Tamandua tetradactyla: one gene and its partner. The protein of the gene in region 2 binds, or shares a complex with, the protein of the main gene of each other region. Links are inferred from orthologs where the notes say so. Each region holds a gene or a part of one and is shown on either strand. Other genes may lie near its edges. The genes, in order: FGF8 and FGFR2.

Evidence for each region.
Region 1: the proteins of FGFR2 (region 2) and FGF8 are in contact, whole or in part, in a crystal structure (PDB 2FDB), measured with the Homo sapiens proteins. The link is inferred for Tamandua tetradactyla from reciprocal best matches to the Homo sapiens genes FGFR2 and FGF8. Residues at the interface, in NP_000132.3 of Homo sapiens: Glu160, Lys161, Glu163, Lys164, Leu166, His167, Ala168, Val169, Pro170, Asn173, Asp247, Val249, Arg251, Ser252, Ser282, Asp283, Ala284, Gln285, Pro286, His287, Ile288, Gln289, Ile291, His293, Leu309, Val311, Leu312, Lys313, Ala314, Ala315; in NP_149354.1 of Homo sapiens: His53, Val54, Gln57, Asp62, Leu64, Ser65, Arg66, Leu68, Ile69, Arg70, Tyr72, Tyr75, Arg77, Gly80, His82, Val106, Glu107, Thr108, Thr110, Phe111, Gly112, Ser113, Val115, Thr148, Glu149, Ile150, Val151, Leu152, Glu153, Asn154.

The regions. Positions count from the first base shown.
Region 1 is NC_135339.1:63,456,469-63,472,301, forward strand, and holds FGF8 (fibroblast growth factor 8), read right to left. Parts: upstream 6,802-15,833; coding exon 6,770-6,801; intron 6,641-6,769; coding exon 6,604-6,640; intron 5,742-6,603; coding exon 5,561-5,741; intron 4,802-5,560; exon of another isoform or gene 4,431-4,801; intron 2,417-4,430; coding exon 2,310-2,416; intron 1,424-2,309; coding exon 1,133-1,423; downstream 1-1,132. UniProt on the Homo sapiens protein: Plays an important role in the regulation of embryonic development, cell proliferation, cell differentiation and cell migration. Required for normal brain, eye, ear and limb development during embryogenesis.
Region 2 is NC_135339.1:84,188,625-84,204,340, forward strand, and holds the start of FGFR2 (fibroblast growth factor receptor 2), read right to left. Parts: upstream 6,255-15,716; 5' UTR 5,844-6,254; intron 3,519-5,843; exon of another isoform or gene 2,540-3,518; intron 1,866-2,539; 5' UTR 1,773-1,865; coding exon 1,607-1,772; intron 1-1,606. UniProt on the Homo sapiens protein: Tyrosine-protein kinase that acts as a cell-surface receptor for fibroblast growth factors and plays an essential role in the regulation of cell proliferation, differentiation, migration and apoptosis, and in the regulation of embryonic development.

The DNA of each region.
Region 1 (15,833 bases), about 21 Mb from region 2:
CAGGGCCTTCTGCTCACAGCTACCTAACCAGAGCGCCCGAAGTTAACAGGTGTTCCGCATTACAATTTTCCACAGCAGCCTGGCAGTGCCCCCTCCTACATAACCCACCTTAGACCCTGGCAGCTGCTCTTTTCTTTCATTTTCTGGAGACTGATACTTGGAAAGAACCAGCCCTGGAATCTCCAACCTGCCTTACAGAGACCTAGGGGAGCACAGAGAAAGGCACTTAAAAAGCTGAACCTATGCTTGCCACATGGGTCCTAACAGGTGCATCCCTCTGGCCTTGAGGTGGCCTGGGGAGGTGTGAGCAGAGATTCCTGCTGAGCTACTAAGTCTGTAGGAGAGCTCCTGGGACCAGCCAGTCAGCCTCTTCTTGCCCCATTCCCTGCTTCTATTCTCCCAGGAAAACCCCTCCATGATGATGCTGGGAATTGGGGACAGCTGACAGCTATGGGCCCTTTAGTCAGGCTGGAAGGAGGCTGTGGTTGGAGCTGGTACCTGATATTCCAGCTGGGGCAGGGCAAGTGATGGGGGAGAGGGAAGTGGGAGCTGACCCCAGCAGGACTCACTCTCACTCTCCAACACAAATTTTTAATACACAAGTTAAATAAATATTTCAGTCATTTAATAGCAACTAGTTACACAACCTCCCTCCACTGACACTGACCCCTAAATGAACTGTCCCGAAGAATCCCAACCCTTTCTGCCCTGCCCCTACTTGGAGGTGCAATGACTCCTTGGCTGCCTGGCCAGCTTGCCCTGAGGTGCAAGAGCGTCTCCGTCTCCGGAGCCCCTCTGCTAGACTCTAAAGAAGCTTCCCTGGTCCCCCCTCCTCCAAGAGCCCCCAGGGCAGGCCACTAACTGGCCTTCATGGCATTAAGAAGACAGACAACTCAGCCAAGTGGAATACAAAAATAGAGCCTCTCTTTTGTTTAAAAACAAAACAAAACAAAAAACCCAACAGCAAACAATTATCAACAACTAGAACCCGGGGCTCCCCGGCTCCTCCCCAGCCTTCAGCAGCGCAGATCTCATCTTGCTTGAGTTTCTCTCTCTTTTTTTTTTTCTTTGCTCCCATCAAGATGAAAGTCTCCGTTGTTCGCAGGGCTGGGGAGGGGCGCGGGGCCGGCGCCTATCGGGGCTCCGGGGCCCAAGTCCTCTGGCTGCCGCGCAGGCTGCGCGTGAAGGGCGGGTAGTTGAGGAACTCGAAGCGCAGGCTCTGCTCGGTGGTGTGGTGGCCGCGCGGCAGCCGCTTCATGAAGTGAACCTCGCGCTGGTGCTGCCGCGTCTTGGAGCCCTTGCGGGGCCGGCCCTTGCGGGTGAAGGCCATGTACCAGCCCTCGTACTTGGCGTTCTGCAGGGCCGTGTAGTTGTTCTCCAGCACGATCTCGGTGAACACGCAGTCCTTGCCTTTGCCGTTGCTCTGCAGGTAGTGGGGGGGGGGGGGGGGAGCAAACGCGGCGTTACTGGGCTCTGCAGCGAGCCCCCCTATCAGAGGCAGAGGGCCAGCGGCCCCGGACAGCAGGTGGGCACCCCAGCAGATGGCGAGGTGGGCAGGAGCCGCGGCCCCACCCCCCTGCCCGGGCACGGGGCTCTCTAATCCCTCACAACCCGCAGCCCACCCGGCAACTTCCTGTGCTCCCGGGCGGCGGTGACACATGGTCGTCTACGCAGGGGCTGGGCCCCGACACGGGGAGGCAGGGAGAGGGGGTCCAGGCGCGCGGCCTGCTCTGGCCCTCTGCCCACCGGTCTGGCCAGAGCTGCTAGGGCCCGTCTCCCCACCTGCCCCGGGCTCCCCTTCAGGAGCTCGGTCGCCTGGCCCCAGGGCCGCCACCCCGTGGGGGAGGGGAGGCCGGCGGAGAGGCTCTGAGCCCACGCCCCGGCAGCCCAGGAAGAGGGGAGCTCGAGGCTGGAGAGGAGCCGTGACTAATGGGGCCATTTCAGAGCTCGGCCGAGGGGCTGGGCCTGCGGCTTACTGAACATTCCAAATGCTGGTACCATGTAATTGGACATAATAGCAAAGCAATTTGGCGATTTGTTAAAAAGATATATGGAATTTACCACCACCACCCCCGCCCCTTCCCTAGCCTTCCTTCTTCCTCTTCAGCCTTTAGAGCTTTTCATCTCTTAAGCAGTCCCTCCCTCACCTCCCCCAGCCCCCCACCCCATCATTAGGTAACCCCAAGGTGGCTCTGTGTCTCTCTGACCACTTTGTTGAGATTAGAGGCAAAAGATGGTCCTGGAGGAGCTCAGCCACCCCAGCCTGCTTGCCAGGTCCCAGGGGCCCCACTTTCCTTCCAGGGCCTCACCTTGGCGATCAGCTTCCCCTTTTTGTTCATGCAGATGTAGAGGCCCGTCTCAGCTCCGCGGACTCGAACCCGGCTCCCAAAGGTATCTGTCTCCACAATGAGCTTTGCTGTCGGAGAAGGTGGGGGCTGGTTATCAGAAGGTCCCTGACCCCCTCCCACCCCCACACTGATCCAGGCCCTCTCTGCAGCCTCACTTACAGACTTGTCATTGCCCAGCAGCTACCGCTCAAAAGGCCAGGCACACGACCCCAGCCCAGCGCAGCCACGAAAATGGGCTGTGCAACCCTGAGAAAGTCAAATCACCTTTCTAAGTCCCCAGCTACCTGCCTCAGCTTACAAGGGGGATTGCACATGATCATGGTTTACAGACTGGGTTCTGCAGAGGGGTCTTGGGGCCAGGAAGGCTGCCTAAGTTCTATTCCTCCCATCCTCTTTTTAAGTCAGACCATCTTGATTTTTATGATGGGGCTCCAAGTAAAATTTAATTTGACCACAGCTCCACTGCTAATCAAAAGATCTCAGAGCTTCCTTCCAACTCAAAATATTACATGTACATGTCTCACAGGTTGTTACAGACATTCTGGGTCCAGTGGCGGCCTCCAGGCCCAAGGACAAATGTAAAAGCACTCTCTCCTGTTCCTGCCACTTCGGTTCTATCTCCTAGCCTTGGCCATCCCATTCCTTGGGCACTTGTGCTCTGCTGGTGGCAGGGGTGGGGACAGGTCTCCCAAGGTCAGCTGCTTTTCCTGAACCTCAGACACTGGCTGGGAGGCTCCTGCCCCTTCCCCACCGCTTCCCAGCCAACACAGTCCCCAGCTCCAGTGTCCAGAAATCAACAACTCAATAGTCTTTTCTCTTGCAACCCCCATCACAGCTGGGCTTCTCACCCCAGTGGCCAACCACCTTCTGTGGACCCCAACAGTGTTTCTGTGGGTGAGGAGGGGAGAAATCAGACATGCTTGCCTCTCAATCTGGAAAGCCAGGAGACTAACCCCTTCTCCAGACACCCAAGTTACCACAGAAGCCCCAGTCCCCACCCACTTTTCTGCACAACTCCCCCCTTTCACACTGTCCCACGAAGGGACTGGGGCCTGAGTTAGCTCTCTGGCATGGGGCAGAAGTGGCTGGGTCTCCTGTCCTTGGTACCACAAAGTCCAGCAACGGCCAGAGCTGCTTTCCAGCCTGCATTGAGACAGTGGTATCTTCTCTTTCCCTGAAACTAATGGGGGAGCGGGCACCTAGGACAGCAAGGCAGCTCCTACCGCCCAGCCTGTAACTTCACCTCCTGTCCCCCTGCCATTCACATGGGCCCAGAGCTGGGACCCAGTGGCCAAGTCCCCAGTCTGGCCCCAAGTCAGCAGGGAAATGCAGCTGTCACTTCCCCTCCCACCCACCTCCTCGTGGACCCAGCCAGTCTGCTCATCCCTCTCCCAGTCTGCCTTCCAGAGCAAGAAATGACTGCTTCTAAGAGCCGAGAAAGGGCAGTGACTGGAGAAGGGACGAGAGAATCCCACTCAGGATTATGGCCCAGCAGGACAAACAGGGACGGGATAAGCCCCCTCTGTTTCTTCCCAGGACTTGCAAAGAAGCAGTTGGGGCCCCTGCTGTCCCCCACACTCCCCCTGTCCTGGCTCCCCACCCAAAGCCTCTGTTCCAACTCTCAGGGCCTCCAGCTCCTACTCCCCACCTGCAGCAGGGGGACCAAGGAACCTGGGAAACCTCCTATTCTTCTAGGGAGAGAAGTGGGCATCAGACTTCTGAAGACTAATTTCCCTGCTGCCAATTTAGCCTCCCCTTCCCTCCTGGAAACCCAGTGATGCTGGCCATTTGCTCCGATGGAGCAAACCCGGGAGAAGCCAGGCACCCGCTTCCTTTCCTTGGAAGCTGAGAAGGGCAGCAAAGCAGCCAGTTTGGAAGGACAAAGGGACTGCAGGCCAGCCCTGCCAGCCCAGCAGGGGAGCTCGGCCACCGGACTGGCCGCCCCCACCCCCACCCCCACCCAAGAGAGCCCCCACTTTCCTTCCTGGATGGATCGGGGGAGCTGGGGCCGCAGTTTACAGCGCCTTTCCCGGCTGGGCTTTTGGAAAGCTTAACATTTTCAAACCTATTCTTCCACCCCAGTGACAGATTTATCCCAGGAAAATTATGTCTCCTTCTCCAGCTTTGAAGGGAAGTCAGCTACGTCGATGCAGAAAAAATGCAGCGAGACATACTCGATCCCCCAAACTGGCTGGAGAAGAGGAGAAAGTATTCAGGAAATGTTAAAAAAGGTGAAAGTAAGAAGAGTTTTAATCGCTCTGCCAGACGCGGGGGTCTCTCCAGAGATTCATAGAGAACAATCTTGAACCTCTTTTTTAACATTTACAGACTTGCAACTCCTTTCAAACTCCACATCTGAAAAAAGACTCGTTCTTTTTCTGTTTTATATCATTCTTCATTTTTCTTCTTAGCTCTTAAAATGCCTCACCTTTTTATTACATTTTAATAGAGTCTTCCCCTCTCCTTTCATGCTTGTTTAACTTGGTCATTATTTAAAGGTTTTTAAACTCACAATAATCGCTCTCTAAAAACAACACCAGCCGCCCAGAGGGCTTGCTTTTCTCTTGGTACATCCAGGGCTCTGGAAATTGGCCCTGTTTCAAGGCAGGAATATTGAATGTTTTAGAAATCAATCAGTCCTCAGCCTCTCCGCCAGCAGTAGCTCCCTGCACTCAGCGCCCCACAGGGAGCCCCGGGCCCTGTCCCAGCAGTCTGGGACCCTGAGCCACTGGAACAGGGAGGGCCCCTTTTCAAGCTGAAAAGAGGAGTAATTGACCCTTCTGGTCCAAGTATTTAGAGATTCACAGCACCCCCTTTTTCCAAGCTAGGAGTATTGGGGAGATTTCTCTCCCTTCTTCTTGCTCTGCTTTTGTGGGCTCTGGCGACATATCCTCTTTCAAGAGCTTCCCTTAAGTCTGGGCCCCCTCCCCCTGCACCCCCTGCCTCCACCTGCAGCTGGGGAGGGCTGTGGGGGGGGGGGGGGGTGTAAGGGGAGATTCCTGGATTCATTCGTCTGCAGGACAGGGAAGGGGGCACCTGTGGGCCAAGTGTTCCCGGAGGCCCCTTCCCCAGGCGACCCTCGGGACACCTTTTGGCCTTAACTCCTTCCCTTCTGAGCTGGGGAGCCTGCAGGCCAGCCAGGGCGCATGCTCCACGAGCTAGCCAGCTAGCTCTCCTTAAGGCGCAGGTGGTGCGCAGGCAGCGCCGCTTACCGAAGGGGTCGCCGTCCTCCGCCATGGCGTTGATGCGCTTGTTGGCCAGGACTTGCACGTGCTTCCCGCTGGTGCGGCTGTAGAGCTGGTAGGTCCGGATGAGGCGGCGGCTGAGCTGATCCGTCACCAGGCTCTGCTCCCTCACATGCTGTGTAAAATTAGGTGAGGACTGAACAGTTACCTTTAGGAAATTGAAAAATACACAACACGCCATTATAATGCTACTCCGCCCAGGGGCCCACGTGCCCCCCCCCCCCCGCCCCTGCGCACTCCCCTTCCACCGCCCCAGGCCGAGGCAAGGGCCCGGCTCCCCAACATCTGGGTTCAAGTCACCTCCCCCTACCCAGGAAAGCCGGGGCAGACCCAGCCCGGGCGGATGAGCTTGGGATGGGGAAGGATCTGGACCCACCTGTTGGAAACACCCTGGGGCTCGCAGCCAGCTCAGAGCAGGGAAGCAAGCTCCCTGCCCGGCGCAGGCCCCTACTGGGGGGCCCTTCTAGGGGAGCAGCTGGGTGCTCCTAAGTAGGGAGGCAGCGCGACTCGCCCGTGACATTTATAAAGACAAATTTACAAAGCAAATGTTGAGCGCGCAGAGGGCCTGGGCACCCGGTCGCTCGGCTCGACCAGCCTAGTCTCCCGCCGAGGGCCATGGCTCAGAGGGTCGCTGCGGCCGTCGCCGGGCCTTCTCCTGACACCTGAACGCCCCCCGGCCGGGGCTGCCCGCTTCCTCAGCGCCCAGGTGTGGCTGCCCGCAGACTTCCCCATCCACTCCAACCTGGCTAGGATGCGTAGGAGACAGCGCTGGACTCGGAAACCCTGGATTCTAGTCTCGCCACTCACTCGCTGTGTGACGTTAGGCAAGGAGCTACCTCTCTGCTCCCTAGCTCCCCTCCTCCGGGTAGCTCGAGGCTGGTTTCTAAGGCTCCTTCCGTCCAGCTCTGCAGCCCTGGCCGCAAGGGCTGTCCTCGGGCCCCTGCCGGACATTGCCAACCGATGACCCCCGCCGGCCCGCCGGGCCCCCGCCTTCGCGCAATGCTCCTTACCTGGGCTTGGAGGCAGAGAACCAGCAAGTGCAACAGCCTGTGGGTGAGAAAAGCGGGCGGGAGAAAGAGAGAGAGAGAGAGAGCGAAGCAGGGTGAGCGAGGTGAGCCGAGAGGGCGCGGCGGGCGCGGGCCGGGCAGGGGCTGCGGGGGCGCGGGCGCTACTTACAAGCAGCTCAGCGCGGAGCGGGGGCTGCCCATGGCGCGCGGCCCCGGGAGCACGGTGAGCCCGGGCGGGATCACGTCGTCCCGCGCGCCGCCGTGGAGGGACGGGCGGATGGTAGCAGCGGCTGAGGGAGGCTGGGGTGCAGGAGACCAGCCGCGATCCCGATGCGGCTCCGCGGGTCCCGTGGAATGTCGCGTTCGCCGCGCCGCGCTGTGCCGCGCTGAGACGCTCTGCGTGGCTGTTGGAGCTGGTGGCCGCAGGCTGTTCAGGAGCCGGAGCAGGCGGGAGGGTAACGGGCCGGCGGAGTGGGTGGGTAGGTGGGAAAGGAGGGGGAGGGGTGGGGGCGGGGGGCGCCGCACCGGGGGCGAGGGGGGAGCGCGGGGCAGGCGGCGGGAGCCCGCAGCCCCCGGCTGGGAGCTGGGGCCGGGACACAGCCCCGGGCGGAGGCGGGGCGGGCCGGGGCGGGGCGGCCGGCGGGTTGGGGATTGGGGGTCTGGGCCAGGGGAGGGGTCTGGGGACCCGCGGGAGGGGTAGGGGCGGCCCATGTGGGCACCTCCCCCCTACCCCCCATCCCAGGTCTGTCCCTTCGCGCGCTCTTCGGGCCTGGACACGCGGGGATGCGGCATGCCTCTAGCCGTCCGCTCCATGGGGCTCCGAGACCCTCGACCCGGGTTTCCTAGACCGCGGGGTCTGCCAGGTCTCCGCCGGGACGTCCGGTCCGCAGATGCCTCTGGCTGCGCGGCCAGTCTCTGAACCACCTACTGTGTGCTCCGGCAGGGCCTGTCCCCTGGGAGCGATGCTGCACGCCCGTCTCTCGGGCAGTGCGTGTGTGTGCAATGGGGGAACCGCTCCTCGCACCCTTCTGCTGAGACCCCGTGAGTCTCGCCTGTCTCGTTCATTGTCTAAGCAAGCCCCACTCGCCCTCCCCCACCCCCCAGCACAGAAGGGGTTGCCCAGAAGTCCCTGGCAGAGGTGCACAGCAGCCGGATACCCAAACCAGCAGGTAGAGGGGACCAAAATAACTGCTTTCAGCTGCTTTTCCTGGGCTGGGCACCCGTTATGCACTGTATCAACTGGAAATTGGTACTAAAGGGGGTAAAGGGGCTTGTCTAACTCTTTCCCTGTCCTCCACCTCATTACTTCCCTCAGGGACTTCTGGAAACCTTGAGGCCCACTGCTTCTGTGGGAGCAGCCAGAGTGGGCAGAGGTGCCCTGGGACAGGTACTTCTGAGGAGCAGGTAAAGCCACAGGTGCCCTGCCCAGTTGCTGCCTTCACCCACGACCTCTCTCTCCCCACTGTCCCCCATGCCCTTGGGAGTAGAGCTGGAGAAGGTGGGGGTAGTCCCAGGAAGCCATTAGATGGCAGAAGTGACTGACAGCTCTTATCCAGTAGCTCAGCCAAATTCTGCCTACCACCCCTTTCACTACCCCACCTTTCCCCACTTCCAGCCATAAATGCAAACACTGAATAATATATAGATGGGAAAACAGAGTCAGAAGGCTTGTCCCAAGTTCTCATCCCTCCTCAGTAGACCCCCTAAGCCCATCTGTTGTCACCCCTGTTCACTCAGCTGGCTCTTGCCTACTAACTTAGAACTTACTCTAGTAGCAAAGAACTGGGCAAAGTTGTTCTACAGTCAGTGTTTGCTGAATGAATGAACAAATGAATGAATGAATGAATGAATAATGGGGAAACTAGCTGTGCTGTTAGACTTCTGCCCATATGCAACTTTCCCAGGGAGGCCTGCCTCCGGCTCCCCCACCCCCACCCCCAATAGAGAATAATTGTAAGCACCATCATTTTTCGAGCATTTATACCTGCTAAAAGTTTGGCATGCTTGCTGTTTGCTCTCATCCTCTCAAACCCTGGGAGAGGGGTCCATCAGGGAGGAGATAGGTCAGGCAGGTTCCAGGTGCTCACGGCCCCAGGCGTCCCTTTTCCTTCGTTGTGCTTTTCAGTGTTTTCAAGGTCTTAGAGGCCTGTGTGGTGACTTGTTAACTGTCTGCCTCCCCTTCTGCACTCTAACGTGAGACCTAAGAGGGCAGGGATGGCATCTGTTTGCTCACCATCTTAATCTTGTATTCTGCACATAGTAGGCCTTCAGAAAGTTTGTATATATACTTTAAACAATATATATTTATTTGTATATATTAATGAATGACTGAATGAATCAATGAGTGGAGTGGATAGAGAGCAGGACTGTGGATACTTCCTGAAAGGAAAGGACCGTCTCCTCACTGTGGACCTAGCTCTCTGAAAATAGTTTGGCGGGAAGAGCAAGAAACAGAATACAGGCAGGGGTTAGGGAGGCCAGTCTGTCCTCAGCATACATGGTCTTGGGGTCCCAGCCAGGACCATTCCAGGCACCTGCTCTTTCCTGAGGTGGGGTCCGGGTAGGACACAGACCAGCCTTCAGAGTACCTGGCACAGACCAGCCTTCAGCCCTGGTTCTCCCCTCCAGAAAAGTCAGAAGAGACCAAGACTGAACCTCAATGATCTTCACTCCCCTCTCCCCCCTCTCCCCCCCCCCCCCCCCCCCCCCCCCCCCCGAGATGGACATCACAGGCTGAAGGGGCTGAGGTCGGGGTTTCAATCCTCCACCTTAACCTCTGCCAAGGGGCCCCTGCAGGACCAGAAATCCTTTACATTTGGAGACTCTCCCACAAACTGGACCCCTGTTCCCATTAATTGTCAATTTGGGGGGCTTCCTCTCATCTCCCCAAAAGTCCCGTTCTGTAGAGACAGATGGGGATACCCCCGCAGCAGGCGCCCGGTTCTGCCCGGGCAGAGCCCCGTGACTGACAGATGCAAATGTTTCGCCGGGGCCCCCGCAGGCCGCTCTCTCCCTCCCTAGTCCGCTCACTCGCTCGCCTCCCGGCCAGCTCGCTCCTTCCTTTATCTTATCAAAGCCCCGTAATTACAATTGCTATTTTGTTTCCTCGAATCTGCAATCAGAGCTCCTGGGCCCTGATGAGGGAGCGCCTGTCAACCTGATCGCTGAGTGACAGCCTGGCCACCTTCCCTGGAGGCCGCCCCCACACTCCGCAAACACAAACACACACACACACTCACTCCCCCACCTTGCCTCCAAACACAAACACACGCTCCTCGCCAACACAAACAGCTCCTCCGCAAACACGCCCTCGCCGGGACCCAAACACATGCCTTCAACCCCTTTCCAAACGCACCCCTCGCCCCCGCCCCACCTCGCCCCCTCTCGCTCCTCAAATCCACACCAGCCGGCGCGGGCGGCCCCGACTGCCGCCCCCACTGCCGCTCGCTGTAAAGCGCGCCTCCTGCGCCCGGCGTTCAAAGCGCCGCGGACTCTGCCCACCGTTCAAATGCAAATCTCCTAAACTGTGTTAAGCACTTCGGGCCCCAGTCGGGAGCCCCCCTGTAGCCCCCAAATATGGGTCAGCAAGCCCCAGCTTGTGCCTTCAGCTCCCAGCGCTCTGAGGCCAAAACGAATTGGCAGCACTCCTACTGTGTGCTGGGGTGGGGGGGATAGAAAAAAGAGGTAGAGGAGAAGCGCGGGACAAGGAGAGAGAAGAAACAAGTCCCAGCTCAGTCCACGGGGAGTCCGATTGGCCGGTGAAACTCCAGAACCGAGAGACAGATGTGGATTGGGCCCCCACTGCGGGCAGGAGCACGCTCGGCGCCGGCCGGAGCCCGGGGAGAGACAGACCAAGCAAACAGTAAGAGAAATACAATGAGCGATCAGCGGCACGGTGGGGGGTAAATATTGGGGCGGAGCTACGCGCCGGGGGTAAATGGGTCTGCTTGGGAGGCTTGCCCATAGAGATTACTTTTCACTGTACTCAAGCCAGACTCCAGTGCTTCCTACCAAGAACCGTGCGAGGAGTTTGGAGGATGGAGCCGGGAGGAGGAAGGGAACTGCTTGAACACTGCCTCCTGATTCCCCTACTCTAAAGCGAGCTCTCTCTCTTCCCAGGAATGAATGAATGGATGAATGAATGAATGACTTAGCCTCAGTGACTCATTCCCTCGCCTTCTGCTTAAAACTTGGAGGCCCGGATCCCTCGCCGGCCACGTATACTCCTGCTCCACCGCCCACCTCCAGAGCCCGAGACTGCGTGCGGAATCGCACTACCACCCGCGACCTATCCGCGGTTCGGCCATGCCCACCAGAGGGCGCTAGCTCCTTCTCCTCTCCCCACGCTTTGTCGTCCAGAGGCGAACGGTTCCGAACGCGCCTCTCTCCTGCTCCAACCTGGCTCCCTGGTGGAAGCACTTCGGGAACTCCTCATGGAGTTGTGAGTAACCTGGAACCCTAATCACCGCTACACAAAGAAAGGGGTCTTCTTTTGTCCTCAAAGGGTGGTTGAAAATTGGATACCCCCCGCACCCCACCCCCTGCACGCTCCTCATCACAAACCGGGGAAAGCATCTCCTTTTCCAGGGATGCATATTGAAAAGGGAATACTTTTCCGTGTAGTGAGGACACTACCTCCTAAATTGACCCCACCTACCCCAATACCCATCCCCCCCCCAATATCTGGGTCCCCTCCCACTTGTCCACTCACTTCTTCCAGCAGTGGATGCAGAGCCTGCCTGGTTCCCACCAGACCTGCTCTCTGTCCATCTTCAGCTTGTCTGGCCCCTGGCTGTCTCAGGAAGTAACCTTTGTTTGTTTGTTGGTGGGGCATTATCGCTCCCCCTACCTTACCCCTCAGCACAGATGCTGAACTGCTGACCCCAGAGCTGGTCAAATATACACTTAGGCTGGCAACCAGGTCTCAGAATTACCTGATTCTGGGAACCAGAGACCCCCAGACTAGGTGATGTGCTGGGGGCAGGAACCCTTTAGCTCAGGAGACAGGTTCCCAGGGGGGCCCTCTGCCCCCATATGCCAGGCCACCCGGATTCTGGTTTCCTTGTCACCCAATCTGGCCAGGCCCCTCCATCTGGCCCTAGGAATCATGTTTCTAAGGGCCCAGGCCAGCTCAGAGACTGCCTGCAAGTCTTGAAGGAGCAAGGACTGGCCCCCACCCGATCCCTCACAGGCCCTCTTGGAGCCTGTGCCCCTTCATGGGGCTAGGGATGCACATTCCTCAGCCAGCTTAAGCCCCCTTATCTGCCCCCCTGCCCATCAGTTTGAGTGCTGACAGAGGCCCAGACCCCTTGTTTGGATGCTGATAACCTCCTGAGTTGGCCCTCCCCCACCTGCAGAGGCTGGGAACAGTCTGGGTGTTGGGAGGTCCCCTTCTAGCAAAGCCTGGGCCCTCGGGATAGCAGGATCCCACATTTCTCCACCCTCTCCCAAGCCCAGGACCACCCTCCGCGCTGCCACAGTGCCACCTGGTGGTCTCCGGGGGAATGTCACTCCAGTCCAGGAAGAAGCCACACAAGTGATCTGCAAAAAGTCCCACAGCACTTTATTCCAATCTTTATCCAAAAATGTAAAAATTGTCAAAAATGTGTAGTTCTGAGCTTCAGCTACTGACCTCCAACACTCATGGGAAGAGGCAGAGAGTGGATTAGGATGGAAATTCAGAGTTCCTCCCATCCCTGGAAAAAGGGGATGTAGGACTAGGGAGAATGGGCCCCTTTCTCTCCTAGCACTGGCCCAAGTTTCCCCTCACCCCAGGCTCCAAACCCTTCTCTTCAATGGAGAAGAAATATTTAAAATTCTTGAGACTTGTCAAGGAACATGGTGCATGGCACATGTAGCAGGTAGATCGCTGACCTGAGGAGAGCAGTCAAGGGGTCAACATCTAGGCTCTCACCTGTTCCTTCTGTCCCCTCCCCAAACCCCAGGCACCATCCCTGAGCTTCTCCCCCACTCACCAAAGAGGACTAGGGCCTGCCCCTCTGCTTCTTGGCAGGCAGGATGGGGTACAACTCAGTCTCCTCCTCATTCTCCTCTTCCACACTCTCCTCCTCCTCAGAAATGTCATTGCTTATAGTAACTGGTAGGCACACAAGCAATAAGTGGACGTGAGGGGAGAGAAAGCTGAAGCCAGAGCACCTTCACATCACGTGTCTTTTACTTGACATTTTTTAATTGTACATCCTGTGGTGCTAGGCTTACAAGGACCCTGATCTCCCAGAGCTTATGGCCTAGATAGGAAGAACCTCAGATACTAAACTGATGAACAAGAGCCATTACTGGAGCTGAAGAAGCTGGGAAGATTTCTTGAAGGAGGTAGGCTTGAGTTGGACAGAAAAGTGTGGAGGACACATCATACAGGGGGCATGGCCTGGGGAGAGGTGGGGTGGGCACATAGGTGGGGCTGCATTAAGAGGTAAAGCTGGAATGGGGCAGACGTATGGGGTTGGGGGAGTCCTGAGAGTAGGCTGGAGGCAGAGAAGGCAAAGGAGTGGGCCTCCCCATACTCTCACCAATCTGGTGTCGCCCAGTGATACGCACAGGGCCAGAGCCAGACTTCAGGCGGAAGGTTACAGGTGGTTGGAGCTGAAAATCATTGAGGCTGAGCTAGGGAAAAAGACAAGGATAAGAGCCTGGCCCACTCCTCCCCCAACTACCTTGTGAGTCCTGAAGCTCAATCCTCCTCCCCTGGGTCTGACTGAGGAACTCACCATGGGTTGGCAAGACAACTTGAGGTTGGCCACAGGGACTGCAATCTCCTCATTGTCATGGTTCCGGGCCACGACTTCCACCACATTAAACTCATCCTTGGCTCCCTCAGTGAGGCAGAGCTGGGAAGGGTACACAGGGCCTCAGCTTCTCCTCAAGGGCTGGTTGACACCACACGTGGAGGAATCCTTGAACTTGCCCAGCCTGATGTTCCTAAATCACCTGGCCAGGGGAGCCGTCCATGGGGGGCTCAATCAGATGAGGCGACTCCCAGTAAAAAGAACATGTATAAAGACCCACCCGGTGCCTGCCCAGGCCCAGCTATTCTCCTACGCCGTCCCCTCCCTCGTCCCCTCCCCTCACCATGGTCAATGCCAGCACATGTTCCGCATCATCCTCTTCCTCTACCTTGAAGGAGCGGGTGCGGCCGGAGAGCTCACAGCCTGGGAGTGATGACAGTGTATGAGTGGGGGGCGGGGGGGGGGTATTGCAGGGGAAGAGTTTTACCGACCCTCCGTCATGTGCTGCCATCGACTGGGGCGCTCGATCCTAGGCCCCACCCCACACGGCACATCTAGGGTAGGCACCCCATTGCCCACTTCCGCCTAAGCGGCAGTGTGCGGGACCCCGCCTCCTGGGAGTACGGCAAGCCACCCCTCCACCCCCACCCACGTTGTGCATCCAACTAGATTCCTGTTCATCTCTGACGCTTACCGAGCCCACCCTAGCACCACCCTCATGCCCTCCTTTCCTCATTACCGAAGAAAAAACTGTCCATAGTGACCGGGACCCGCAGACTCCCGACAACCCCAGTCCGAGATCGGATCTCCCGGCCTAGGAACGCTAAGGCGGCAGTGCCAGCGACCTTGCAGCAAGGACCGTCTTCAAGCCCCGCCCCTGACACGTATAAAACAAGGGACTGTCTACCAGTTCCGGCCCCGCCTTTTAAAGGAGAAGCTGTCTTCAGCCTGGTCGATAGCTTTTCCGCCCAGGAACCTACGCTACCTACTCAGACCTCTGTTTAAAGACCTAAGAGGGAGGGACATCACAAAGCATAGGTTTGGAGACAACGTTGTCGTCCGTGCTTATTTCTAGAACTAAGGCTCTCTTGAGGGTGGCTTCCTGTATCCTTTTTTTCCAGCTCCTGGCACCCTTTGTAGCGTTCCCACTCTTCTAACCGAGTAAGTTCACATTAAAGGTGGGATACAAAAATAGAAATCTTTCTTACTTCCTCCCCTAGCAAAGGGGGTGTCAAGATAGCCCAAGTTCTTATCAAAGCAAAGGAAATGCATTCACAGATTTGCACATGGCCTTTGTCCCAGAGACTGAGGGAAGACTCCACTGATTTCCACCCGAATGCTCAGCCCTCTCAGTTTAAACCTCTTGTAGATATGCTTCAGTTGTTGGCCTTGCTAGCAGCACGGTTAGCTCAGGTGAGGGACTAATTGTTCCTACGGGCTTACCTACCCTTTACATGGTCTTTGATTCCCACACAACCCAGGCACACCACTCCCTTTTGAATTCTTCTCATTCAATGCGGTTTTCTCCTCCCCACTTTTTTTTTTTACATTCTGACGAAAAGAACCAGACTGTGTTCCTCATTCTATTAGATAGCAGACAACTCTCAAATTAGCTGCCCTATTTCACACCCAAATAATAATTCTAGAGGGTAGTTTGGTCAGGAACTACATGGGGCCTTCCTCAGTTTTTGCCCGTTGCTTGAGGAAAAACTGGGAGCCCTTTACTGAGGATGGGAGTGGGGAAGCCTGCCTTCAAGATACAGTCCCAAAACTGGAATAGCTGCAGAAGAGAAATGCCTACTTCTTGCCAAGGCATGAAGGACCCAAGGGGTAGAGGGCAAAAACAGGTTCACACAGTACACCACCACACACATTCATTTCATGTTTTATTTTGCCTCTTGCATGGTCTTCAGACAGTTTTACAGTTCATTTTCTACAGGAACTGAGATGTAATCTAAACAATCAATGACAGCATCATTTCAATCTTAATAAAAATTCTTAACCATATGTCAGCATAGCACTTTATGATCCTAATGAAGTTATAGGCCTGTACATCTCTTTCACAGTTAGCATCTGTGAACAGAATGTTCTGACCAAAGTGATTATTAAAAGCCAATATAAAGCCACAAGCAAAGTTGCTAAAATATCCTGATTCCATAAGAGGTTGACCCTGAAATTCTCCAGGGCAAGATGCCAGAAACGTCCACTCGTATATGAGATGCTCTCAGAGAAAACTGAGTTAGCTGTTTTAACAATACCTAGTAGGGATTTTCCCTTCACCCCAGTCCTCAAAAATGCAAATTGGTTCCAGCTTTCCAACATAACGTTATCCTTCTCTATTATTTTAAAGTTTCTATAGTTGAAAATGCAAAGGCCTCCTTTTGCTCTCGCCTATTCTCAGCCATTCAGTGCACACTCAGGCCCTGGTTGGAAATCACTAGGTACCACTAGGTACAAAGTTTTAAGATTCTCTCACAGCCCACACAT
Region 2 (15,716 bases):
CTGAGCCATGCACTCAGGGGAAAACCAGCAATTAGGGAAACATCCATTTTAATTATTAGCAAAATTAAAGAAGTACAGGCATGACTTTCAGAAACCAGGAACCTTCTCCCTCACATTCAGTTCTTTAAAAATCCATCACCATGGCAAGATACATTCATCCTCATCATGGCACATGTCCTAAGGAGACAGTTCCACAGGGGTCTGTAGGTGTAGCCTGTAAAAACGTCAAACAAACTCCTACCAGACTCCCTTCCCGAGCTGCGGAAGCCTGGGTGCTGCCACCCCACCTGTTAATTATAAAGCTTCCGTGCCTCTGCGTAATAAACGAAAAGTGCAGCAGTCTCACCCATACGATGGCTTTAGGTGATGAGTGTCGCCATGCAGAAAAAGATCTGTCCTCATCCTTTAATGTCTCACGCATGGGGGTCTTCAGTGGGGGGAGCCCACCAGTCTCAGAGCTCTCAGCAGCCGTGGGAACACAGCCCTCCCTCCCGCTCTGCCCTGGCCATGCTAAGGAGGCGGCACTTTCCCTCCTCTTCCAGCCTGCCCTCCTGGGTCAGCCTGCTGCTCACTCACCCCTGCCCAGGGGGAGTTCCCAGAAGAGGCAGGCTGACCCCAGACCACTCAGGAACGCGGTGGGCTCCCGAAGTCAGGCGAGTACCAGGTGGGCTCTCAGCAAACAGGTTCATTAAGTGGCGATGAGTGCTGGGATCTGCCGTTTGATTCTCGGATTACCACTCGAAAAATAACTCAGCTATCAATATTTCCAACTGATGACAGATTTCAATGCTGCACCAAGTAGAGACTTGGCTAACGTGGTCTCAGAAGGACCTGAGAGTGAGGTTCCAAATCTGCCCAGCTACACAATTCAGTCTCCCTGGGACCTCACGATGGGCCTCAGGCTTTCAAATTAAATTTCCAAAGCTGGAAACACCAACACACACCCTGTTAGATCTGAAAGTTCGAATAGATGTGGGTAATACTGTGGTATCTATATATTCTAATTTACCTAAGTAGAATCTGTGGCTGTGACCACTGCTTAAGTATTAGGAACTATAATAGCTTAAGAAAAAAAAGTCTAATATAATACCAAGCATCTCTGTACCAAACTTCAGAAGCTTCTTTATCTCTTTAGACAATGAAAAGAAAATGTCAGCATGTCAGAGGTTGGCAATTTCTTTTAATGGTTCCTTTTGTCAAAAAAAAAAAAAAAAAAAAGAGCAATTCTTCAGATTCTCCTCCAGCAGGAAGGCTACTGCAGGCAGCTACAGACGGCATTCATCTGCAGACAAGTTCCTTCTCCGCAGCTCTCCTGGGCACCGCTTCCCTCACCCAGCACAGAGAAACACACACATCAAAAAACCACCAAACTACACCATCCTGCCTGCACTGCTGCAGCAAGGAAATCTCTCAGGTAATCTAGGATTTGGGTGGGGGGAGCTGGGGGGTGCTGGTGAAGAGGTCACTCTCAACTGTACTCAGAAGACTCCCGGACAACACAAGGGCAGCCGATTCCAAAGCGGGCCTTAGTCCGTAAATGCCACTTGCAAACGGACAAATCCCCAGACGAACCTGGTACCCTGAAAAGCGAAATGAAATGACTGACCTTCCGGCTCGAAGGTGGTATCCTCAACTAAATTGAAGGAGGGCCGGGCCAGGGAAACGGTTGCCATGGTGACCACGGCCAGGCAGACCAAGCGACCCCAGCTGACCATGGCCACGGTGCCGAGCCCCGGTCCTCTTCCGTATCTCCATGTGGACGTCAATCCCATCTGCACCCGGCCTCTGCGGGCATGGACCGCCAGCGACGCCTTCGGCCCGCGGGGGGCTCCGGAACCAGGCGGCGGCCGCTGCTGCTGCGACCACTAGAGGAAAGAGACGCGGCGAGTCAGTGAAATCTTCCCCAGAGCCAGTTCACTTAAACCCGAGGGGGCTCAAACAGGGTTTCCCAGAGCCTCTCGAACATGTGAAAACTAAGTCATTTTTCATTATCTGCAAATGCCTCCTGGCTTCAGGTTCCCCAGGTGTTTCCACAAGCCCCCTGGGCAAAATGCCTTAAGCTGGTCTTTCAAAAAACATCAGATAAAAAAGGACAGGCGGCCACTCCCGTCAGGTAAAATGTGCTTCCTTCACTGTCCACTATCACCTCTATCGCCCTCAAAACGCAGAAGCAATGTGACCTTAGTTTCAAGGGCAACTACAAAAGCAGGTTAAAAATGCTGGGGCTGCAGAAGCGGCCTCGTTAACTTCTCTCGGTCTGACCAGGCTTTCGAAAGCCGAGCCCACCAGGCACCTGCTTAGACCTGGGTGTTTCTGCTGGGCTGCAGCTCAGAGCTCTGACCCCCTCAGGGTGGTGCCCAGGAGGAAAGGAGACCAGAAAAAAAAAAAAAAAAAAGCTCATCCCAGGAAGGCTGCAAAAAAAAAAAAAAAAATTCCCACCAATGTACACTTGTCAGGATTCATTTTCAAATGTGCAAGTGTATTTCAATCCCTCGCCAAACAGCCTCTTAGGAAGAATGAAAGGAACTGCAATCAATACATTCAAAGCAGCCGATCCAAAATGGGATTCGAAGACCGAATCCCCTTCCACTAGCCTCAGGCCTAGTACACAGTTAAGAAACAGAGCAGATGCAAACTCCGGTTTCCAGGTGAATAATGGGAGAGTTTATTTAAAATGATGATGATGATATGCAAATTATTGGCATGTATGTGATTGGGGCAGTATCTTTCAATATGCTAACCACTGGCTAAAATTACAGAGTAGAGTTCCAAGGGGGCGCTCAACTTAGTATTTTTGTTCACCCACTTGTTCCAAGTTTTTAAAAGGCGAAGACAAATTTCAAAGCGAACTTAAAATATTCCAGATAACTTTAAGTTCGTTCGATATCCTCAATGACTAAGTGTACAGTCGAAATGCATGAACTTTGGAGAATCTGATTAAAACCATCACAAAGAAAGGGTACAATAACCTCAGTCTGCAAATTCCATGAACTGCGTGAATTAATTTCATTTTATAAGACTGGGGTGGGGGTGGCTTGTAATATAAAATTCCTAAACCATAAAATCACTAAACCTCGTGCCTTGCCCCGTGTTACATGCTGACTTAATGCTTCAAGTTATGACACAGAATTTCAACACTGCCTGAGCATTTCCCAAAGCTACACCATAGAAACTGCTCCTTTTAGCCTTGACTGAGGATTAAAACTGGGTGAGGGCAAAGAGGATGGCACACAATGTCCAAAGGGAGTGGGGGATAAAGAAAACCTCTGCTTCAAAGAAAATACGTATGAAACAGGAATTTACAGGAAAAGCAAGAAAAGTGTACGTACACGCTGTGTTTTCAGATCCTTGAAGGATATTTCTTTCCTCTTAAAGCCTCAAAAGATAATTCTGTGTCTATTTCTACATACATGTGGGAGGAAAGAATGCAAACATTCTCACCAATTTACTGATCAATTGCAGAGTACATGAGAATTTCCTCTTCCAATGCAACTTTATGAACAGCTTTAACTCCTAACAGGAGATTGCACCTCAACCCACCCTACCCCTAACCCTGCGCCTTCCCAAAAGAGCCTCCTTAGCCCTGGGGGGGAGGAGGAGTGGACAGTGCCCCAGGTCAAACCTGAACTCACGACTCACTCGCCCACCAGTTTCCACCAGAAATCCAAACTGCGGCATTTCCAGGTCCGGGCCCCGCAGCTGGCTGTCCCCACCTCTCAGGACGGCTGGGCCCTTAGGCGGCAGGTTCCCGCAGCCCCTCACCGGAGTGGACAGAGTATGGCACGACCTCCTAGGCAGGATAATTAGGTCCCGAGGCTTGGTGTTGGGAACACAGGCCCAGCATGCCGCTGGCTGCCACAATCCCGGCTTCCTGCCTACAATACCGTAATCCTTCCTGGAGTCTGAGCCCCAGTGAAAGCCCCAGCGTGTTTATTTTTCCCCTTGAAAGGGAACTCTATTCTCAGCCTGCGCGGGAGGAGTTGTCACCCTCCCTCTGATGGATGGCTCTTCACTGCCACCCGCTCCCCTAGTCCGTTTTCACCTCTGCACAAGCTTGACCCCAAAAGACAGGCAAACTGACCTGCAGTGAGAAACGGGCTGGGGAGAGGTCCCCGGTGGGCCTGCAGCTCCAGTTCAACTTCCCACAATCCCAAGCCCTCCACCCCCAGAAGGAGGGCCAATGCCAGGGGCCGGCGTTCTCTGGGCTTCCACCTAAAGGACCTAAGTGACCTAACTGACCTGTCCACCACTGGCAGTCCCCTTGCTGAGCAACTCGGGTGCTTTGTTCAGGGGAGCCGTCTCACCTGGAAAATGAACACTGCCCCACCAGGGTGGGGGCCCGCACCCCCAGAGGAAGACCCATTCCCTAGTGTAAGTCTCAGCACTGCCCTCCTTTCCCTCCAGAGCTGAGAACGGGAGGACGCTGGGTAAGGTGTAACATCTGCAGACATGGAACAGGGAGAGGGAATTCCTCAACACACAACACTGAAATCTCAAAAACAAAATATACAGGCTGATACACGGCAGCAATCTTCTCCCTGCAAGACAGTGAGAACTGGCTGGCAGCTTCGGGGTGCGCACCACCGACACCCCGGTTCATGGTAGCATTTCTTTCATTTGTTTGCCTGGAATATCCTGTTTTTTCTCCCCCCTTTCTCCGCAGCTAAAGAGCTCAGAGAAATCTGCATTTTAATTGACATTCCAGGGAGAGGGAGAGGGGCGCCTGATTGCTTTTCTATTCAAACTAAACAGGCTTTTCAGATGAAAATGAGTCGAGGCTGGTGGAAGATTTACAGGGATTTGGGACCCGGGGGGGACAATGGGGTTTTAAATGTTGATAGCGTTTCACACCAAACACATAATGAGAGCCTCGGGTTTGAAAGCAGCTTCGGCTTTAAGGGTCGGTTTTAGAGATCTGGCCCAGAGGAAGGAAGACCCCGGGAAGGGTTCGCCCGGGAGCCGGCTGCGGGGGGGGCGCGGGGAAGGCTCGTGGTCCCGCGCGCCCGAGTCCCTTGCGCAGGGCGCCGGCCCGCGCCTCGCGGAGCCCTGGGCTGGACTCCCCAGCGCGGCCCGACCGCTGAAAGAATGAGCGCGCAAGTTAAAACTCGCCTGCGCTTTCGACATCTCCGCGCGGCTGCAGGCGAACTAGAAAAAGTCGGTCCAGTCCGCCCCCTAGCCCCGGGCGCGCTGCGCTCCCTCCCAGCCCTCATCCGTACACCCGAGGCACCAGCGCCGGCGGCGGCTGCGGCCGAGGGGGGCCCGGCACCAAGATCGCGGAACCGGAGTAGCCCCCGCCCCTTATCCTGAGGTGCTCCTCAGCCGAGGCATCGCCATCACCTCGGGGAAGTGGCAGCCCCACCCCAGCGGCGCCCTCCCAGGGAACGGGTCCCTTGCCTGAATCTGGATGGGACAGGGAGGGCGCTCCCCAAGCCTTGCGGTGAGGGTCTCCGAAGATGCCCCTCCAGGCCCCCTGGACCGTGCCCCCAGAAAGGCGGCCCCGCCGCCCGCCCATCCCACACGCCCTCTCTGCGGTCGGAGGAACCCACCCGGCCGGCGGGACTGAGCCCGCGGGAGACTGACACGGGGGGGCGATGTCAACGCCAGCGGTAGATGCCAACCCTTTGGGTGGGGGTGCTGGAGACAGAAGTTCGCAAACGCCGGCCGTGAGCACGTAACCTCCTTCCCCATCATCTGGGCAGCCAGAGGTGGGACAGGGGACGCCCTCCCCAACGCCAGGTCTCCCGCACCCTCCTCCGGGGGTCAGTGCACCCGACGCCCCGGGCTCCCACGGCGCCCACTTTCCCCGCTGGCGAGGCTGCCCGGGTGCCCCGCTCCGCGATTACCTTGAATGGCCACGCTCCTCCTTCGCGATCTGCTCGTTCCCCGCGGCCGAAGTGGGTCGGGACGGAGCAAACGACGAGCTCGGGGACCCCTCAGGGGAAATTCCAAAAACAAAGTCGTCCTCGGGTCCTCGCCGGCGTCAAAGCTCCCAGGCTTCAGGCGCACCCCAGGCTGCGGAAGAGGACGGGCATGACGCCCGCGGGCTGCCCTCGGATTTGGGGAGCGAGAGGAAGAAAGGACTCGGGCTTGGCGTCTCCTCGACCAAACTTTGCTCGCCACTCGCGAACAGTCAGAACGCGCAGGAAAGCTGCGGCCTCGAGTCCCCGGGGCTCGCGTCCGGGCCCCGCCAGCCTGAAACCGAGTCGCCGCGCTGGGCCAGGTACGCCGCCCGCAGAACCCCCGGCGCCCCGAGCTTTGTGCGGCCGCCGCGCTCGCCCGCCAGCCAGCCCGGCCGCCCGGCTCGGCTCTCCACGGCGCTCTCCGCTGCCACCTCCGCCCGCCGCCGCCGCCGCCGCCTCCTCCGGCGGGTCACGCCCCCCGCTGAAACCCGAGCCGTTTCCTGGACGGCGGCGTCCGCTCTGCCAATCAGCGCCGCTCTACCCGGCCGCCCCGAGCCCCGCGCCCCGCGCTGCGCCCGACGCCTGCCAGCGGCCCGCAGACCCCGGCCGGGAAGGCGAGGGACGCGGCCACGAGCTGCACGGAGAACTGCTACAATACGCCCCATTAATAAGGCCTGACTCCCGCGCCCTGCGCCCTCTCCTCCTTCCTTCCCTCGGGAGTTAAAGTGCCCAACGGTTTGCTTGTCGGGGGGGGGGGGGGTTCATTAAGTATTATTGCACACCAGACAACAAATGGCACAATGCCTGCTCTGCCCCTAAATGGACTTGAAAATGGGACTATCGGGGGTGGAAGTTTAGTGCAACTGAAACTTTTGGAGGAAACAACTTGAAACTGTTTGCAGGGCGTTGCATTTCTGTCCTTCAAAACAATAGAAGAAACTGATATTTGTGGAGACCCTACTGTGTGCCAGGCACATAGTGGGTTAGTAGGTTATCTTATTTAATCTGCACAACCACCCAGCATAGTAGTATGCCCAGTTTCTGATGAGGAAACATGGGTCAGAGAGGTTAAGTAATTTGCCCAGGGACACACAGCTGGTTACTGGCAGAGCCTGACTTTGAATCTGGCGCTATTTTAAAAAGTGGGAAAACTGCACCGAAGCATTTGTTGCTTAGTAATGTACATTTGGATTAGTGAAAATAATTTAAAAGTTTCTAAAGACTGAACTCTGCCATAAGTGACTATATGACCTTGAACAATTTAATTCCTTCTCTGTACTTAAATTCAACTGCAAAATCAGATTGTTCAGATACCAAGCAGTTACTCATTAAAGTTCATATTTTCCATTTGCCTCTTTCACTAGGCTATGTCTTCAGAATAATTCATTTTCTATTATACTTTCCGTCCCTCCTCACTCATCCAGCTTCTAAGCAGTCGAGCTCCAGTTCAATACACTGTAGATAAAACCTCAATTATATTTCTTTAGAAAAGGTCATTAAACCAAGAGGTGTTTTAGAATGCTTTTGAGGCCTAAAGATAGATAATAACAAACTGACCTGGAAAATCGACTGTTCTTGCACGTAAAAATGCAAAAATGTCACTAACATCACATACTTCACAACATTAGCAAAAATAGTTTTTCAAGGTGCCATATCATTCGAATATCATTTTTATTCACAATACATCATAGAAAACTTTTACATAAATTTCTTAAAAGCCAGGAGTAATGAGTCCGTTTAAATGCTACAGGCAAAGAGCTATGGAATGATATTTTGGAAATTTATCAGTAAAAATAGTAGTCTGACTCTCAAGCAAAATGATCATGCTTGATGGGCGGGGTATATTTTTGGTAACGCTCTCTATCCTGGGTCAGTTCTAGAAGCTTTTCACGACCAAGACTGCAGAGCCATGCGTCACTGACCACACCAATGCATTTTCAGCTTCTCAGACCTGGAATCACAAAAGAGATGGGGCTGAATACATGCTTACTGGGAGCTGGCACTTATATCTTTCTATTCCCCGCCAATGGGAAACTCGAGTGTCTCGGACAGATTCCTTTCCCATCCTGCAACACAGCCATCAGCCATTGAAAATGCTGTTAACACATTCTCACATAAATTAATGGTGCAGGAAGCCTAGTACCTATCCCCATTCATCACTAGCTTTATGTACGCTGAATGGAAAGGAAGCCTTCCGCTGAAAATGACAAATAAGAACACCTACTTTAATGTCCAGGTCCAGTTTTCAGAATTTATTCTTTATAGGGATGAAAGGACACCAATCCATCAAAGCCCCTTATTCTCCTGAGAGCGCTCATTTTTAAGTGTGCGGAGCTCGCAATGGCAAACTCTTCAGTTTTGAGAAAAGCAAAAGCATGTTTGGAATTTTTTTTTTTAAATCAATTCTGTCATCATATTTAGGCTTCAAGTGACCTCAGAGGGTCCAGGCAAGCTTTCACACCAGCGAGGCTTCTGAATGAGAAAATAATCTCTTTACAGTTTTTTTTTTTCTCTTCCCTCTTCAAGTGGCTGGAACCCCTTTTGTCAATGGCCTCCCGTGAATGGTGTTGCTAATAAGCCTATTAATGAGCTTGCACGGCCGAGTGTGAATAGGTAAATAAGCCCCAATCTGTTGAGGTTCAGGGGCGAGGGCAGAAAACCATCAAGAACTAAAGGTGACAGTTTGAACTGAACTACGAACGCCCGGCACCAGGTTTCAGCTGAAAGAACGGCCAGACAAGGCCACATTCACAACCCCTCCACCCCCTGCCGAGGCCCCTTTTCTTCACAATTTTCCCCCCTTTACAAAATGTCTTGAGTAGGCACCCTTTTTTTTTTTTTCAAAAGCCCTCGAGAAGCCCTTCTTTTTTTCACCGTAGTAATGATACATCAATGGGAAGGAAGGAAAATGAGGATACCAGAACTCCAATGCCCCATAAGTTTCAAGAAGCCAATTGTGCTTCTAGCCCACTGGTGAAGAGAAGAGAAAAGAAGGAAGGGGGTGGGGAACTTTGCTGCCACGGGCTCCTCTGCTTTAATGATTCGGATTTTTTCTTTTAATAATTTGTTTGTTAATGGGTGGCTATCCCTACACCCTATAGGAAAGTTAGATGAATAAAAGCAACTGACATTGAAATGCTAACGTCCGAGCATTTGGACGTGGCAAAACTAGGGACTGCATTCTTCCAAGTACCTCTCAGCTGTGTGCACTGGCATCCCTGGCATGGAAGATGCAGAGAGGAGGGATATAGGATTGCCAGGACTTCCCTCTGGAAGAGGGAAGGGGCCAGATCCCAGAAGGCACAGGCCATTTCCAGGAAGCTTGTGACATGTAACCGAGGCAAAAACATCAATTCCACCACTGAACATCAGTGAGCCTAAACCTAGAACTGTACCTGAATCAAAGCCAAAACTTCCCTGGAGAGAAAGTCCTCCTGGATGAATCTCGCTTTGAGTCAAGAGGGCATTGCTTCCTTAAGGTGAGAGGCTTCAAGGCTCCAGACACTCTAGCTCTGTGACTTTGGGCAACTTGCTGAAGTCCTCTGAGCCTTCCATTTTCTCACCCATAAAGTGAGGACACTGATAGTACCTAGCTCATAGGGTTACTAAAGGATTAAATGAGTTAGGAGGTGACAAACACTTAAAGCAGAGCCTAGCACTTACTATCATTATCCCCACTTCCCAGGACCATGAAAGGAAAATGCTTAAGTGAAAGGCCTGTTAGCACCATAATTCCTGGTTGGTATTTTGCAGTCACCTTTACTGCTGCATCCCACAGCAAAAGGCCTGGGGTGCCCAGCAGAGGCCCACCTGAGGTTGCGTCCTAGGAAGGCGGTCTGAGTCATCTGAATGGATGTCTAAGGAGGTAGCACCAGAGAAGCCATGCAGCCATGGCCAAACACAGTTAAGGCATTACATCGGGTATCCTCTGCTCCCCAGAGCAGTCCTGGGGCTGGTGATGAGGACAGAGCAGGTCATGCTGAGAATATGCTTTTCACACTGGTGAACATAGTTAGCACCAAAGGAAGAGCTTCCTTAAAACTGCGAGGAACATCTGAACAGAAAGGGCCACTATGGCCCATGCTGACAGCTCACTAGCTTTCCAAGGGACCTGAGTGACACAGGGAGGTCTTCAGAAGGAGATGGGTCCCACCATGAGGAAGTGTGTGTTGAATCCTAAAGACCGTTTGATTTGTCCCCTACATTTTACAGGGAAGAGAGCAGGGCACAGAGAGAAGTGAGGGGCACCAGGCCACCCACTAGTTAATGGCAGGGGACCCAGGAGTCTGGTCTGCTGACCAAGCTGGGGTTTATTCCAGAGGCCACCAGGGCAAGCCAAACACTCTCACCCATGCCGGGGGTGGGGGTGGTTGGCTCTTTCTAGGTTCAACTCTGTGTGGAACTGAGATATTTGAGTAGAATTCTTGGCCTCCAAAAATGTTAATATTTCCAGAACACAACTACTCAGTCACAGTCAATTCAGCCTACATTTGTCTCTTTAGGTGCTGCGAAAAGAATTCAAGTTAGAACTTGTGGTGGATGGAACTGTGTGCTCTAGTGTGGATATGTTCTTAGTCTTGGCTGGCATTAGGGTGGGTTGGGACCCATTGTGAATAAGAGGTCTTCAAGATGTTACTTGAGTTAAGGTGGGGCCCCACTGGATCAGGGGCAGCTTTAATGAGGATTGCTGGAGTCCTTTATAAACAGAGTAAAAAGTCAGAGGGACCGAGACGCCACAGGGAACAGAAGCCAGAAGCCGACAGAACCCAGAGGAAAAAGGAAAAGACATCGCCATGTGCACTGGCATGTGACGGAAAAGCCAAGGAACCCCAAAGACTGCCAGGCAGAAGACACCTTCTAGCCAATAGATTCCTTTTGGTAAACCAACCCACTGTATGGTATTTGTTTTAGCAGCTAGGAAACTGAAACAGAGTTATTATTGTTCATGTTTCAAAGAACCTTCAGGTTCAGGAGCATAAAATTGTTAGACCCCTCTTTTTCACACCTACAATTTCATCAGCTAAATTTTCATAGCTTTCAAAATAGTGCAAGAATTAACAGCCCACACTCATGGATCACAGAATGATTCTTATCAATGGTATTGTAAAAGTAAATGGAAATAGGATATTCTTAAAAACTCCTAAGGTTTCATTTAACAATTACCATCAGACCTGTTTTTCTGTTTGTTTTAATGCAATGGATGGACATAGCCAGAGGCAGTATAGGAAACTCAATTGCATCCTGATTCATAAAAAGCAAAATCCCTATAAAAGATAGTGTTTGAGGGAGAGGGGGTGGATGTGCAAGGGTAGTTGGAAAACATTTTACATGGACTGGATATTATCAGAGATTGCTGTTAATTTATTGATGTAAGATCATGACACTTTGGTTTTGTAGGAAACCAAATCCCTGTCAAAACACTTAATTTAATTTCAAGTGGTTCAGAAAAAAAAGGCAGAAACACTTAGATAAAGCACATCAGGCAAAATGTTAACTGTTGAAACTAGGTGGTGGGTGTTGCATTATTCTTTGAACTTTTTCAAATGTTTGAATAATTTCATAAAAGAAAAAAAAGTTGGGGGAAACCCCGCTGGCACGCAACAGCGTGGACTCAGCCTCACCGCTGCCCCCTCGCTCCGCCTCCTCTCACGGCCATGGCGCCAGTTCTGCGCTTTGGCACTTGGCATCTGCCAACCTGAACAGATCAAGGAAAACTGATCAGTCAATTCCCTGGTTGGCCAGAATGGCCAGATGGCATGTCTTTAAGCTTTAAAAATACATTTATCTATGATCTCCAACACTCCCCACCCCCACCATCTCTGAACAGTCCCTGCCTCCCTGGCATGGTCTAAAGAAGCTGTGAAGTTGTCATTCACCCATCAAGTTGTCATTCACCCATCACTGAGTGGTGTACCTGGTGCTACAGGAAGCCACCGTCTACTTTCAAGTACTCTGAAACCATAGCCTAGGCTCTCTGCTATTGACCCCTCAGCTCCCGGTAACGGGATCTACCGGAAAAGTCCTCTCATCCCCGGCCTGTTGCTGTTTAAGGCAATTTATGGCATGTCACTGCTGGCCTCCAGGACTCCCCCGCCCCCACCCTCCACGACTCGGCCTCCCAGCAGGCTGCAGAGAAAATAGGCACATGGTTTTAGCCAGCGTGGGGGCAATTTGGGCAGAGGTTAAGGATGAGGGATGACCTTCCACTGTACCCCTGCTTCCCACCCCATCACCATCACTGCCTGGACCTGCGCTATCCAACTCAGGTCCAACGCCACCAGCCAGTGAGACTATTTAAATTTAAGTTAGTCAAGATTAGATATAATCTCAGGTTCTCAGTCATACCAGCTGCATTTCTAGTATGACACCCACACGTGGCTGCTGCATTGGACAGCGCAGACGGAAGATTTTCGCCGCCACAGCGTTCTCTTGGACGGCGCTGCAGAGTGCCCCCCACCCCCACCCGCCTTCCTCTTCTTTCCAACTAGCCAGGCTCAATGCATTCCTCCCCCAGAACCCCCTCAAACAGAGGAGTCCAGGGGCTGCCCCTGCCTCCTGCCCCCAACGCCCATTTTCTCACCATCTCTGACCGCTCCAAGGCCGCTCCCAGTGCTTACTGCGGAGGGAGAAGAGAGACCAGCCCAGGGGGACACTGCAGATGCATTGACAGATCTTTAACAAATGCAACATTTAGCCTTCCTCAAATGAACCAATTCAGCGACTCAGCCTGCCGCATCACCTTCTGAGTCTGGGGCCTACTTGATGCAGCTCCCCTGTTCTCTGTGGAAATCTCCGTTGGCTCTGAATTCATCTCGGGGGGGATTTCAGTCGCCTCGGGAACACTCAGCCAGGCTCCTGAACCCACTGAGAGAAAGGCAGGCATGGCCCTGGAGAAAACCCAGTATAAAATGACCTTGGGGGAAGGATTAATTGGGGGGGATGTTAAATGTTAACACCCAGGAAGTCCCCACCTGTGTCTCCCACTCCTGGATGCCCGAGACCTGGCACATGCTTGGCAGTTTATTGATCTGCATTTGTATATAACAGGCCATATCTGTTGATTGACAAATTGTAACTTAGCATCATTAGAGGTTTTCTACTTCAAGGGTTAGTGCAAGGCAGCACATTATTCCTAGGAATTTTTGTTTTAACTTTTTAAATTGTATAATATAACCTATCTACAAAGCATAGAAAGAAAAAAGTAGTAGTTTTCAAAGCGCTCTTCAATAAGTAGTTATATGACAGATCCCAGAGATCCCAGTTTGTCATGGGCTACCATGCCATCCTCTCACATATTTCCTTCTAGCTGCTCCAAGAATATAGGAGACTAGAAGGAATAAATATTTTTTTATCATCACAATCTACTTTTCTTTTTCCTTTTTTGTGAAAAATAACATATATACAAAAAAAGCAATAAATTTCAAAGCACAGCACAACAATTAGTTGTAGAACAGATTTCAGAGTTTGGGATGAGTTACAATTCCTCAATTTTAGGTTTTTACTTCTACTCTGTGGGGTAGGGAGATGGAACTAGCTGATGTTCTGGAGAGGCTGGGACCATTAGGTTTCAGGGCTTACCTGGCCCAGGGACCCATCTTATTCCTAGCATTTTGTCCACCATTGATGAGGGGCATTTAGAAGCTAGGGGGAAAGGCCATTCTTGGGCAGGACCGACTTGGTTACTTTTCCCTGCAATGCCTTGTTTTCCCCCCTCTCTGCTCTTAGTTTCTGTCCTTGTTCTGTTACTAATTCCCGAGTGTGTGTCTACTTCGACCAAAACATGAGTTCACTTTAATAAACCTAAGGGGAGGGAAAACGATGCTGCCAGCATCCTGGTCAACTCGGGGAAGGAGTCGGAGAAAACTGAACAGGACAAATCGTAAAACCACAAACCCAGTAAGCCTTTTAGAGTCCCAGCGCTCCTGTATTCTGTCCCCAAGCTAGAGAGAAAGGCCACGGCAGGAGGGGTTGGGGGAGGAGGGAATTTCTTTAACAGATTTCTAAGAGCAGCGCTGAGCAAAAATTAACTCCTTCGCGGGGTCCGGATTCAGGCCTGGCCGCCCGGGACGCAGGTGGCTCCAGGTGAGGGCGGCGGAGCCCGGGGCTCCTTTGTTCTCTGGGCTCTGAGCAGGGAGGCGTGGGCGGCGGGCGCCAGCGCCCCCGTGTGGCCGCGGCCGTTCCTGCGCGCGCAAAAGGCGGGTGGAGAGCGCGTCCCGCCCGCCCCCAGCCTCAGCCCCGAAGCCCTTCTGGCAGTGCAGGTGATGAGCGACGAGGTTGAGGTGTGTCTACTGCAGATCCCAGGTGCTGGCTGAGACACAGCTGGACGGATCTTGCCCCAGCAGCTGGAGCAGCGGCAGTTTGGGGCTCCACATCCTGCCAGACGGGGTGTGAAGTGGGAGCGGCCTCCAGCCGAGCTTGGCGCTCCTGCCTGGTGCTTCCATCCTGTCCACAGCCAAGCATCCTCCCTGAAACGTGGGCCCCTCATTTCCAGCTTGTGTTGGCATCTCTCCAACTGGGTCGACAAACAAGACTGAGAACCACCTTTGCACCCTCACCCCTAAACTGGCTTCCACTTTCTGCCCTCCACTCCATTTGGACTTCTGGCCCCATTTCCTCCTGGACTGCTGCCCTCCAGACCAGAGGATATGGGCTCCATTGCCATTAAAGCCAATTAATGCCCAGTCTTCAGTCTTCCTCTTTGGAAAGCCAATCCGCCCGCCCCAACCCATCCTTTTCGATTTATATTTTCCCCTAGCATCACAGCCGCTGTCCTGAATCAGGGCTTTTAGGATTCCAGGGCAGCTTCTGCCTTGGGTCTCTGCTCTCTGCCAGCCACCCTGCCTGGAGCTGGGGACCACGGCCCTGCTCTTTCACCTCCATACCTGAGAGCCTGGATGACCTCCACTTGCAGGAGTCATAGCAACTGTCCCCTTAATACACAGTAGGTGCTTGGCAGCTGACATTTATTGGGTACTTTCTATGCTCCAGGCAACTGTGATCACGGCCTTTAGTGGAGAATCACCTTGAAATCACAAGGGTGTTGGTCACGGTAGCACCACCGTGACCCTGTTTTACAAATTGGCACCTGGAAGCACTGTGGTTGCCCAGGTCACACAGCAGTTTTGGGAAGGAGCCTGAGTTGCTAGCCGATGCCTTTGCCTTGGGGACTGCCAGTGAAAGAACTATCAAGGGCGCCGTGGGGTCCAGAAGCAGAACAGAGGCCAACAGGGAGATCCTTCTGCTCTTTCAAGAGAAGCTGCCCACCCAGATTATGGCAACTGCTCCAATTTTTAGACGTCGGCACTTTTTTTAAAGACACTGGGCCAGTGCTGGCCTTTGGGTCTGCAGGTTGCATGTCCTGCTGTCCTGGGGTGGGATAAGACCTCAGATCCGGAGTCTAGCTGCCTGCAGTGGGTCTTCCCTCTACCACTTCTTACCATAGCCCATCTGTAAAATGGAACGATACTAACACCTAACAGGGTTTGTGTGCGGATTAAATGGGAAGCTTCAGGGAAAGTGTTTGGCTTATGGTGAATCATCAATACATGTTAACTGGTCTTATTTCTAGGCTAACGGTTAGACTCTCCTTGTCTGTAGCCCTATCCTAATCTGCCCATTTCCTTCTTCCTCCCTTTGCTGTGTGACCTTGGGCAAGTTACTCAGCCCCTCTGAGCCTCCATCTCCTCATTTATAGGCCACCATATTGGAGGTAGCCTCTTCAAGATTCACCTCTAAGAATCTTGATGCTGGTAGCTTTTTAAGCCATTAAGGGCAAAGTACTTGCTGACTTTCTTCTACAAATACTCTCTAATTCTC